Oryzias latipes: one gene and its partners. Each later gene encodes a partner of the first gene's protein in a complex. Links are inferred from orthologs where the notes say so. Each region holds a gene or a part of one and is shown in the gene's direction. Other genes may lie near its edges. The genes, in order: thoc2, sarnp and thoc7.

What was found.
Region 2: thoc2 (region 1) and sarnp share a complex: the UniProt entries of both Homo sapiens proteins name them as parts of the transcription/export (TREX) complex. The link is inferred for Oryzias latipes from reciprocal best matches to the Homo sapiens genes THOC2 and SARNP.
Region 3: thoc2 (region 1) and thoc7 share a complex: the UniProt entries of both Homo sapiens proteins name them as parts of the transcription/export (TREX) complex. The link is inferred for Oryzias latipes from reciprocal best matches to the Homo sapiens genes THOC2 and THOC7.

Annotation. Positions count from the first base shown.
Region 1 is NC_019872.2:16,163,304-16,166,953, reverse strand, and holds part of thoc2 (THO complex subunit 2), read left to right. Parts: coding exon 1-2; intron 3-96; coding exon 97-227; intron 228-511; coding exon 512-613; intron 614-1,443; coding exon 1,444-1,528; intron 1,529-2,372; coding exon 2,373-2,466; intron 2,467-2,585; coding exon 2,586-2,666; intron 2,667-2,747; coding exon 2,748-2,844; intron 2,845-3,650. UniProt on the Homo sapiens protein: Component of the THO subcomplex of the TREX complex which is thought to couple mRNA transcription, processing and nuclear export, and which specifically associates with spliced mRNA and not with unspliced pre-mRNA.
Region 2 is NC_019865.2:25,904,786-25,909,050, forward strand, and holds the start of sarnp (SAP domain-containing ribonucleoprotein), read left to right. Parts: upstream 1-1,381; 5' UTR 1,382-1,397; coding exon 1,398-1,508; intron 1,509-2,340; coding exon 2,341-2,440; intron 2,441-2,527; coding exon 2,528-2,571; intron 2,572-2,840; coding exon 2,841-2,911; intron 2,912-3,145; coding exon 3,146-3,197; intron 3,198-4,265. UniProt on the Homo sapiens protein: Binds both single-stranded and double-stranded DNA with higher affinity for the single-stranded form. Specifically binds to scaffold/matrix attachment region DNA. Also binds single-stranded RNA. Enhances RNA unwinding activity of DDX39A.
Region 3 is NC_019863.2:16,702,958-16,706,980, forward strand, and holds thoc7 (THO complex subunit 7 homolog), read left to right. Parts: upstream 1-1,605; 5' UTR 1,606-1,625; coding exon 1,626-1,713; intron 1,714-1,937; coding exon 1,938-2,058; intron 2,059-2,484; coding exon 2,485-2,612; intron 2,613-2,704; coding exon 2,705-2,791; intron 2,792-2,885; coding exon 2,886-2,943; intron 2,944-3,032; coding exon 3,033-3,099; intron 3,100-3,202; coding exon 3,203-3,272; exon of another isoform or gene 3,273-3,349; coding exon 3,350-3,411; 3' UTR 3,412-3,507; downstream 3,508-4,023. Other genes in the region: interferon-induced GTP-binding protein Mx, read right to left, coding at 3,818-4,023. UniProt on the Homo sapiens protein: Component of the THO subcomplex of the TREX complex which is thought to couple mRNA transcription, processing and nuclear export, and which specifically associates with spliced mRNA and not with unspliced pre-mRNA.

The DNA of each region.
Region 1 (3,650 bases):
TGGTGAGAGCAGCAGTTGCATTCCTTTCATGGTCTTTCCAAGCGTCTACACCTGTTCGACTTGTTGTGACCTTAATGTTACGTATAATAATTGCAGGAAATACTGTTGAGTTGTTTCCTGAGCATTGCAGACCAGGTGCTGCTACCCTCCCTCTCTTTGATGGAGTGTAATGCTTGTATGTCAGAGGAACTCTGGGGTCTCTTCAAACTCTTTCCCTATCATCACAGGTGAACAAACACTCACACAGGACATTAACACACAGATGTTGCTCTCTGCATGATGTGACACGTAATTAAGTTATCATACTTGAGCTGATAATGATTATTTGATGGCTAGGTCACTTCTTGCAGACTAAACTGACATGTTGATTAAAACCTGCTTTATCAGTCTGTGACTGTTTTAAGGTGGAATCACTATTATTCTATAACTGCTGTTGGTTGTCCCTGTTACCAGCTTGTTATTTTAAAAAGCTCTGGAGCTGAAACCTCTGCTCTTTTCTGGTCTTCCAAAGGTACCGGTTGTACGGGCAGTGGAAGAATGAGACGTATTCAAGCCATCCGCTGCTGGTAAAGGTCAAAGCTCAGACTGTGGAAAGAGCAAAGTATATCATGAAGTAAGTCACTTGTTCCTAGATCCCTGAAGTGTTTCTGGAAATCTACACATTTGTTTTTTTTTAGTTATTTACATAAAATCACATTCCATATACTATTTCAGTCTAGTACTCAACTATTTCAACATGCTGTGTAAATGCATCGTGGAGCTTCGTTAATCATGGGAGTCATGTTCTAAAAATAACCTGCAGGCAAAAAAGCTGTGAAGTAGTCATCTTTATTTTTACTTTTATTTTAGATATTTTGAGGCTGTAAAGCCCCATATAACAAACTTTATACATGTTTTTCAACCAGACTTTTATATTTACACACTTTTGTTTAAAATTGTCAAGTTCAAACCTTTATAGAAAAATACACCCAGCACACCAAAGTCCCATTGCAGGCGATCAAAGATGAATGTAAGTTTGGCTAACCGAAACAGGAATAACCGGTACTTTGGTTGTTTTTACAAAAATTATTAGAGCTCAAAACACAGCTGAAAAAAGTTATGAAATATACCTTGAAAAACTCTTGAAATTGTCAAATCATTACAAGGGTGTCCAGTTTAACTGAAGTAAACTTGTTATTATGACTTTTTTCTTCCTTTTTTGGTTGAACTGTTTCATATTGAACCTTTTAACCTTTTTTCTTTTGTACTTGGTCTGTATGAACTTTGCAGACACACGATTGTTTTAGAAAAGTATTCTGATGCTTTTTGTTCTAATATGATAATGTGATCATCTCCCATCTGCTGTGAAGCCGGCAGAAGTGACAACTTTGCTGCCAGCGCCGCTCCTTTAGCTCTTAGTTTAGTTCTTAGTCTTAAAATCTGTTCTTTCTTTCTCCTCTGAAGGCGTTTGACCAAAGAGAATGTGAAACAGTCTGGAAGGCAGATTGGCAAACTGAGCCACAGCAATCCCACCATCCTCTTTGATTATGTAAGTCCCCATTATTTTATGTTAAAAGGTGAGACGGACTATCTGGGATTCTTTCTGGCAGTACAGCAACCTTGATTGGTTCAGATGTGTCTTGCATTAGTGATATACTGTCAAACATCAGTGAAGTAAACAGATAAATTGGTTGAGATGATTTGACCCATTTGTTGTAGATATGACAACTGTAAAGCTTTTACCATAAATAATCTCAAAACAGTCAGGAAAAATAAATGCTTATCGCATTTACTCCAGTTTACACAGCTGATAAAAATCAACTCTTATTTTGTGAATGCTGTAATATCAGTTGTTGCCTTAATACATTTAACTGCAAATGCAGTTTATTTTGCTGCAGCGTCTCAAATATTAGACTCAGCCGCCCTTGAGGTTAGCTTTCATCATATGAATTTTAGGTTGGCATAGTTTTGATAATTTTTGTCTTAAAAAGAAAGATGTTTAGAAAGTAATTTAGACGGTGATTGAGAACTTTCTCCCTCCTGGACTTCCCAAAGGTTTTCAGGAGAATGAAAGTGTTTTTTGTCTTTGCTGGTCTTTATGGGAGAAGGAAGCCGTTCCCTAAACCGCCTTCCTTTGGTCAGGTAGTTGTCTGTCCTGGTGTTTTTTGAGTCTAAAATCATGCTTAACCAGAACAGTCTGACCAAAAAGACTTGGCTGTAGATCTTAGTTCTAATGTTGCTTTAAAATTTGTTTTACTTGGAGTTTCAACACCAAAAGTATCACTTTTTGGTGAAGAAACCCTTCACACTTTTTCGGTTGTTGTTTTGCTAATAGACATGTCAGAAAGCCCTAACCTGAAGAAGTTTTGAGTTTTTCTCCTCTGTTTTGCCAGATGTTGTCTCAAATCCAGTGGTACGACAACCTCATTGTTCCTGTGGTGGATTCCTTGAAATTTCTCACGTCCCTCAACTATGATGTCCTGGCCTGTATCCTACATCACATGTTTTGAACTCAGAAGCTCTCAAAGGATGTGTTGCATTAGGCAGAGCTCTAAATATGGAGAGGTTCCACCTGTCTGTGTTGCTCCACTTAACGTTGTCTTCAGATTGCATCATTGAGGCTTTGGCCAATCCAGAGAAGGAGAAGATGAAGCATGACGACACTACCATCTCCTCGTGGCTCCAGAGTAAGCGGCGGTTACATCATCCATTTACACGCTGAAAGAGGTGAACTGCTTTAATGAAGGTGTGACCCTTTGTGAACCCAGGTCTGGCGAGTCTGTGTGGAGCCGTGTTCAGAAAATACCCCATTGAGTTGGCGGGCCTCCTGCAGTATGTCACCAACCAGCTGAAAGCAGGGAAAAGGTGAGGAGCTGAGATTAGTGAAACCAACATCTGCTGGCTGCTTTAGACATTTCAGCAATAAGTTAAACCCAAAGAATTCATCAGCATTGGTACATGCATAATGTAACTACACTGCAGCACATGTGAAGAAGGAGATTTACTTCATAAATAAGAAAAAGAAATGCGTAGAGAGCAGAAGATGAAGGTTTAATGCAGTTTAATGTGAAAAATAAATGAACTGAGATAAGAGGATATTAATTTTAATATCAAACATCAAGTTTTATAGCAGGCTGTGATTTTTTTATCATAAAGTTTGATAAAAAAGTTGCAGCCATCAGTTGGGTTTCTTGTGGGTAAAGGTAGCTTCCTGTGCTTTTATGTTAATCTGCCTCGGCTTTTAACCATCAAAGTGAGCTTTCCCAATGGAACGCCAGGAATGATGTCCTGCCTAATGTGGGACTTTAACCTCCGATTTAGCTTTTCTGTCCTTTTGACAGGAAGTTTTAGCATTACAGGAGTTACAAGCTGCTTTTTACTGGTTTATACAGGAGCTGCTTGACATTTTTCAAGTGAACAAAAGTCGTCATAGAGATTTTATGGTAAAATGAAAGACATTTGGGATTTGATTATGCTTCACAGAGGAATCAGAAGTGACATTTTAATGCAATGGCTGTCAAAGCAACACAAAGATGAGATTAATTCTCAGGGACAAGCTGTTGAACTGCAGGTCATGTCCCACATTAAATAATCTAAAGTGTCGAGATACTGGAAGTGGGGAGTAGAAGGAGTAAAATTAGAAAAGATTTCACTTGTAATTTAGAGAAGTC
Region 2 (4,265 bases), on another chromosome or scaffold:
GCTTTGTGTTTCTGTGTCATTAGAACAATCGCTCACACATTCTTGCTGAAACAATGGAAGGAATGCAACCATAATGAGGATTATGGAAGCACTTGTGACTCCCTAAATTCATCCGGCTTTGTCCTTCATGCCCACAACTTGAAAGTCAGTCTATTGGAACTTTTTTTGTCTGTGTATCGTATGCCGAGCTGCAGCTTGGGTTAAACCTCTTTTTGAACAATGTCAGCATTCACAGCAAATCCAGTTTGAACACGTTTCATCTGTTTTGTGTTCACCCTGACCCCGCCTCGTGTCTCAGTCCATCCACGCCTGAGACCCGCTGGTGTTGGGTTCTTTCAGCCGGTGGCGTGTGTCAGCTGACCCTCTTTAAGAGCCAAGGTCAATGCTGTCAGTTTTTGTTCAGTATTGTTGTACTGTGATTGAATTTTTTTTTCTCTCACCACGAGAACTGCAACATAAATATAAAAAGGAACAAAATCTGTTTTACCTCTGTTGTGTGTAGTACTAAAACAGAAAAACTGCTTAAACTAGAATTTTATTTTTATTTTTTTTTGGTTAAACTCTCATTAATTGTTCAAACATTTCATACAAGCACCTGCATTCCTCTGTAAACCTCTCAGACTTGTAGATGGTTTTGATTCCTCAGTCCAGCCTGAATTTATTTTTTACAAACATGGCCTGGTCAGGTGAGTTAATAGTTTTGAAACCAATGTGTTAAACAATGAAGGTGACATTTTAGGCCTATCTGACATTTTAGATCTGTGAAGATCCACACCTGATGATTCATGGAAAATTAGGAAAAATAGTCTTTATTTATTTGCCACATGGATGTAGCAAATAATTTTTTCATCAGACAGTAATATAATTGTGTTTTATAGATGTGGTTGAAAAAAATACATGTTTTAGAAAGTTCCAGCATGATGTCAACTGATTTAAATGTAGCTGTTACTCAAATACATGAATGTGGATCCACTGCATAAACTGCTTCCATTATTCCTCCAGGTAAAGAAAATAAAAGAAGAAAATTAACTTCTAAAAAACATCCACAATCTATATGGCAAAGATAAGATAAAATGAACTGAGAACAAAGAAAACAGTGAGGAATGTCTACGAAAAAAGTATAAATAAGGATAAAAAATGTTAGTAAACACTTTTTATCTGAGGCTAAATTGAATAAGTATTATAAAATCGCATTTTAATCATGATTTTATATAATAAAAAGTTTGTTAAGGTCTTAACACGTCTTTTACATTTATTTTTACAAAATTTTGCGGCGATTTATTAATTTTTATTTTGAACAAAATCTCTACAAGTTTGTTTAAAATGCAGCAGGACCATCTGCACGGCGTTAATATGCCCGACAGGAGGCGCTGTGATCAATGACGTCGTTGTGATCAATGACGTCGTTGTTCAGGAGCACAGAGGAAGAAAAGCTCGACTCTGATTGGACGGCAGGAATACATCAACAGAGAAAGATGGCTGAAGTGGTGGAGCTCCAAAAGCTGAAGGTTGGTAGAATTAAAAATACGTTTTTCCTGACATTGGGTGAATTTCTTTGTGGTGGAAATGATGAAGTCAGTATTTACACCGGAACCAGCTAGCGGGGTGGCGGCGGGCTGCAGAAAATCGTGTTCTCCGGGTCTTAAGTCTACGAACCGGCATGTGTTCTGAGCTAATCCGGGCTAAAAGAACGACGAAGGAAACGCGGAGGGAAATGAACGGATAATCTGAGAAACTATCTTTCAACCCACCAGTAATAAAGTTCGACGTAAAACAATGAAAACAATCAGTTACAGCAAAAATCGAGAGGTGGGTAAATGGACCGAACCACAACCGCTGTTTGGAAAGACAAAATAAAAATGAGAGATTTTTTTTACTTAACTTAACTCAATCCTGCATTTCTGCTTTTCAAAGCAAATGTGATGAACGACCATTTTGAAAATAAGTAATCGTAACATACATATATATATATATATATATATATATATATATATGTATATATATAAAAGGAAAAATAAAATTCTAACAATGCACAAATTATTGTTATCAATTTAAACTGATTTAGTTCAACAGATGATGAAATCAGTTTATGTAGGTGCTTTCAGATCGTGGTAAATTTATCTTTAATAAAAAAGAACCGTCCTTTCGTTTACAGAGTTTTATGGAATAGTAAGAAGGTTACTGATGTGGAGATGGAAAAATATATATATATTTTTTTATAGTTTCAATTACACCAATATTTCCAAGCAGGTGTTGGCTGATCTATGTTTTACTTTTTTTGAATCACGTCAGTAAATTTTAAAACCAATTGTTAATTTGAGGTTTCATCTTCCCTTTCAGCTTGCTGAGCTGAGGCAAGAGTGTGACGCCCGCGGTCTGGAAACCAAGGGAAACAAGGGCGAGCTGATCGCTCGGCTCCAAGCCTACCTGGAGGAGCACGGTGAGAACCGGGTGACCCGTTTTTGCACATCAACCAAATGTTGTTTCCTGCCAGCTCATATTGTCTGTGTTGTCATCCAAACCACAGAGGACGATGTGGATGTTGATGAAGTTCTGGCAGAGGACACACCGGTAATGTCTTTTATTCTATCCGTTCTCTTCTAGTTTAGCAATAAAACAGAAACGTTCAATCAATGTTTGTTGAGAAAATCAATATTGATTTGTCAAATACACAAATCTATTCATTTTATTGATTACATTTCTTCAGGCAGACACAGCTCACACACAGTTTTTAGTTGAATAAACTCCAAATTTTATCATGAAATATTGTTCAGGTTTGTTTCTTCTGCTTGTTTGTTTCACAAAAGCAGTATGTCTGTTTTTTTTTCTTTTCTTTTTAGGAATTCACTAAAGTTGAGAGCTCCAACAGCATAAAGGAGGACAACCACACTGAAACAATCGCAATTCCAGAGTAAGTTAACTGTACAACAAATGTGCTTTTTCCTCTTTACCTTTCAGATTCCTCTTTGCGTGTGAATAAAGTTATCGTTTATCATTAACTATTATTGTAAGATAGTAACTTTTCAGGGAATTACAGTCGATGTTGCTCAGATGAGAACATCAAAAAAGAGTTCAGCTGGATCTGCTGGACTGTCATGTTCTTAGTTTTTTTTTTAATTTTTGAGAAAATAAATTCTACCTTCAGGTCTGAAGACAAGAAAGTGGTGAAAATCTCTCCTCCGTTGTCTGCTGGTGAAGTAAGTATGAGTCGTTTTCATTCACAAATAAACCTTGGTTTAGATTTTAGATCACGTCTGAGCTCTGAAATCTAATTTTAGAAGAGAAAAGCTTCAGAAAAACACTAGTTGACCTCAGACTTCACCTTTGTGCTCGTGTTTGCTCCTTTGGTTTGGTGTTTTTAGATTAAGTTTTGCTGAAATCTCACTTTGGGTAGATGCTAAAGCCAAACTGTTTAATACAAAAACATCTATTTTTCTGAAAAATAAAGCAAATCTTTCCTAAAAAGTGGAAAAACGAATCTGTAACTTAAATTTAACCAAATAAGAGCACAACCTAGTTATTTAAACTTAAATATTTTGCTTTTTTAAAGGACTCCATCCATTCATATTATTCATCATACTTGATGAATAATATGCTCTTACTCTGATAAGGACTGGATTATGGTGACTTTGCAAAAAAATAAATAACAATAGTGGTAGGATAACATCAGTGGCGGACCGTGCATTACACACCTGGGCCTTCAGTAGTGCAACGTCTGAATCACTCAACGCCTCATTAACCATATTATGATGCAGAAACTAGCTTTGCATTGCAGATTGAAAATTCCTGCAGCCACAATCAGTGCCTCTAAATACAGAAAACAGTAAACAAATCTTGTTATGCAACTACAGCCAGCACAAAACATTACCGCTACCATAACCACATCAATTAGGAATTTATTTATGATATTTAGATGTTCACTCATCAGAAGATGAGATTATTTGATGACAAAATCCACCCTCCTCTCTTTCCTCAAACAGTTCCATCATCCTGTCATGTAGATTATTGCTCTTCAGTTCCGTCAAGAAGTCATTTTCTGCTCGATCAAGGCCAGTGCTGAGAGCCCAGTCTGTCCATTTGTGTTGCTGCGTAGGTTTGAATTCACTTTAGATCCGAAAATGTCCGCTGGTCAGACGCAGTGAACACGGGGATGGTTGGTGCCAAACGCACAAATCTGTATGGCTGTTCATGCTCTCACTTAGATTTTTATTGGTTACTGTCTTTACTGTCAGGTGTTTTGGATAAAGCAATTGTCTAAAAAAAGA
Region 3 (4,023 bases), on another chromosome or scaffold:
CCAACAACAGATGCAAGAAAAACAGATTTATTCCAGGTTTATCTAGAAATTCTAGGCGAGAACATCTTATCTTCTGTGAGAACACTCGGGATTGGGTGGCATCAGTGGGTCAACTTTGAAGTTCTTGGCAAAGCTCAACATCTGCAAAGGATTGCCTTCAGATAAAACTGAAAAGTTATAAAGTGACTTTCACAATCATTTGATGTAAGCTTTTTAGAAGATTTCTGGTGAGATTTTAAAAGAGGTTGAAGCAATCAAAATTTTAATTATTTTAAACTGTGGACACTAGCCATGAGGGTGTTCTAAGTGCTGAATCTGCACATAATGACTGTATCCAAATCCTTTTTGAGATTGTTAAAAAAGGTGCTTTGCTTGTATTTTCAAAACCATAACACACTCCCACTTAAAATGTTTGGTTAAATCTAGGCATGAATATGTTAACCTCTGATTTCTAATTGGCAAACTGCTGAAAGTTTGTACTGTTTTCCTGTAAATCTAATATACGCGTGAACCTTTGTTAAATAACAAAACTCTATTTGCCCACACGGCTGGTGTTCTGGTGAGAAATAGAGCACATTAAGTTTCAAACAAGTTTCATTGTAATTTTCTAAGGTGTAGGAACAAACATGAAATCAGACCTGAATTGATCTGTCAGAAAAAAAACGAGGAAGTGGTGACCAAGAAAATATGTTGGCCAAATGAAAACCTGTTTAAATCTATAGTTGAAGCAGGTATTGTACCTATAACCGTACCAGTAACATTACTATTTATGAATTATTATAAATGGTGAAATTAAAGCTAGATAGAAATCTTTGTCCTCAATAGCCACTTAGTAGCTAAAGGTTCTTATAGAACAGAGGTCTGCAACCTGAGGCTCCGGAGTTACATGCAGCTCCTTTATGATTCCATTGTGGCTCTTTGGTTTTGAAAAAAAAACGCTAACGATTTGAGTTACTAATAATGTTTTGGGGTTGTTTTTTTTTTTTTTTAATTTATTTATTAAACTTTCTTTTATTTGGATTCTGCTCCAATGTTGTCATGTTAATATATGACTATAAAAGTAGAAAAGAACGAATATGCAGCAAAGTCTGACTGATAGAAAAGTCTATGTTTGACCTGACTTTCTTACATGTTTTATTCAAGTGAGTCTGTTGGAGGATTTAATTTGACATGAGGTTTATTTCGTTTGAAAGGAACCTATATATGCTGCTGTCAAAAGTAAAGGAAGTTAATATTTTAATAGAAAGAAAATGATAAAACTTTCATAATTCAATTATTTTAATATCTAAATGCTACATGGTAAAAATGAATGGTTTAATGGTAAAACAAAATATGTAATGTGCCATTCTCGATTGATAATTCAGCTTGCAATTTAAGCATTCAATCTAAAAAATGCATTTTAGAATTTAAAATTCAATGTGTAATGCTACAATGTAAGCTGACATTTTTAAAAGCAAAATGTTAAATAAAACAAAATCAATTGTATTCTAAACTGTCATTGGTTTTTAGTCCAATAATATTCTGCAATATAATAAAAGTTCAATTTTGCTGTTGAGTCTAAAAAGCACAAAAATGTGGGAAAAAAATTGCCACATTGAATGTCCACCAATAGGGGGCAGTAGAAAATGAAACCGCTGATTTTAACCTGGAAAAAGAATCTTGCTCTACCGGAAATAGTATTGCTCATTGCAAACATGGGGGCCGTAACAGATGGTAATTTGGTGGTTACTTCGTTTAATATAAAGTTTTATTAAAAATAAATAAAGTGTTTATGTGTTAAGTTATTGTATACAATAGCTTATTTCTAGAATGTAGCAGTGTTTACGCAATCAGTTGGGAGAACTGTGCAGCTAATTTATTGCCCTGCAGTGCTAGCTCAGATTAGCAGGTTGCAATCTAGCCTATAGTTTATCTTGTCTCTTTCGTTTCTGTTAAAGATGAAGTCATTCGGAAACGTCTTCTTATTGATGGCGACGGAGCCGGAGATGACCGCCGGATCAACCTGCTGCTTAAAAGCTTCACTAAATGGTGCAACTCGCCCGGGACTCCGGAGGAAGGGTCAGTGCTGAATGAATCTGAGTCTGAGCTGACGCATCAGAAGATTTACTTTCCAGATTTTAATGTGATTTAGCATTTACGAACAACTCTTCTTGCGAAAGAAAAGTCACATTAGTTAGTTCTTACGTTGTGTGTACAGGCAATTCCAAGCTAGTTTATCAAACTCCATAGAAGGTTAACGGGTCTCAGTTGCATGCAGTTATACTTACCCAAGGAGAAGAGTAACTGTCTTCTCTACAATCTATGGCAAGCAGAGTGTGACACACAGCACAATGTTTCAACTCTGACCATGCATTTCAAAAGGCTGTTTCTATACATTTCCATGATGTGTTTTTATATACCCGAAGAGTAGAATGGTGTCTTCCTTGTTAAATATGCAACAAAAAATCTCACTTTAATTCCTTGTGGTCTTGTGTTTGCGTGTAGATTCACACAGTACCAGCGGATGTTGGGCACTCTGGCTCAGTGTGAGTTTTCCATGGGAAAGACGTTGATGGTTTATGACATGAATCTTAGAGAAATGGAAAACTATGAGAAGATCTATTCAAATATAGGTGAGGTTTTATTGCTCTCGTCTGGAAGCATTTCTGTTTACAATATTAGATTTCATCTATATACCCCCCCCCCCACCCTCCCCCCATTGCAGAACAAAACATCACATCTGCACATGAGAAGATTGCAGAATGCAAAAAAGATATTCAGAGGGCAAAGAGGATACGAAAAAATCGCCAAGGCAAGGATATTTTGATATGGATTGCATATTTTATTTATTGTCCTTTTTCAATAACATCCTTGGAGTATTATAAATATGTTTGTATTTTTTCCAGAATATGATGCATTAGCCAAGGTAATCCAGCAGCATCCAGATAGGCATGAAACACTCAAGTAAGTGGCTCCGTTAATTCAGATTTTCGATTGCTTGTAAACAGCGTACAACAGTTTTGCTTCATTTTTATTTATTTATTTTCTTTCAGGCAGCTAGAGGCGCTTGACAAAGAGCTCCAACAACTGTCCCACATCAAAGAGAATGTGGATGCAAAGGTATATCCAAACAGAATTTATGCAGCTTCTGTGTATTTCGCTGATGATTTGATTTATTTTAAAGTTGTTGTTTTTTTCTATCAAATTTACTGTTCCACCATAGTTGGAGTTGAGGAAGAAGCAGTTCCACGTTCTTCTTACCACCATTCAGGAGCTACAACAGACACTTGAGAGTGAGCACTTTATTCTTAATGCCAACTGATTTTAAAATTGTTTCAAAAAGTTAAACTCAAAATTTGTCTTCTTTTAGATGATGAGAAGTCAGATATTGAAGATGCCAGTCAAGAGAGCCCTGCAGGGAACAGTGAATAACAGTGGAACAGAATGAAATGTTCTTAAATGAGTTTGGGTTTGTGAGACAGAATGCTTTTCGTATGTATTTTTGAATAAAATTCTCTTGATTCTGTCGCTCTGTCTGGTTTTCCCTTTTATTGTTTCAAATAAAAATAAAAAAATCAAAGTTCACAGACTGATAATAATTTCCCTCTATATATATGCCCAAATAAAACAATGAACATAAAAACATGCTCCACACTCGAGGTGATTATAACAATATATAAAAGGAAAACATCTGTGTGCCCATATAATGACTTTTGCTGCTGTAAGATAATCATTCCTGTTAGAAACAGCAGATTCTACTGGACTACCCAAACACAACAACTGAACATTTACACTAACATGTAATTTGGAGATGCAGAAAACAGATCCTTCAAAGTTTTTAGAACTCTACTAGGTATGCACGGGCCTGCAAAAGGCGCTTAAGGCGATTCTGCAAAGTAGCCCTCTTACTGCCGATGTCAAAGTCCTCCTTCAGCAGGAAATCCAAGTTCTCCTTGTCCTGAATCATCTGCAGCATCTCTCTCTGGAGCTGGCTGGCTGATTGTTGCAGCATTTCATAACGGATCACCAGGGGGATTTGATCAG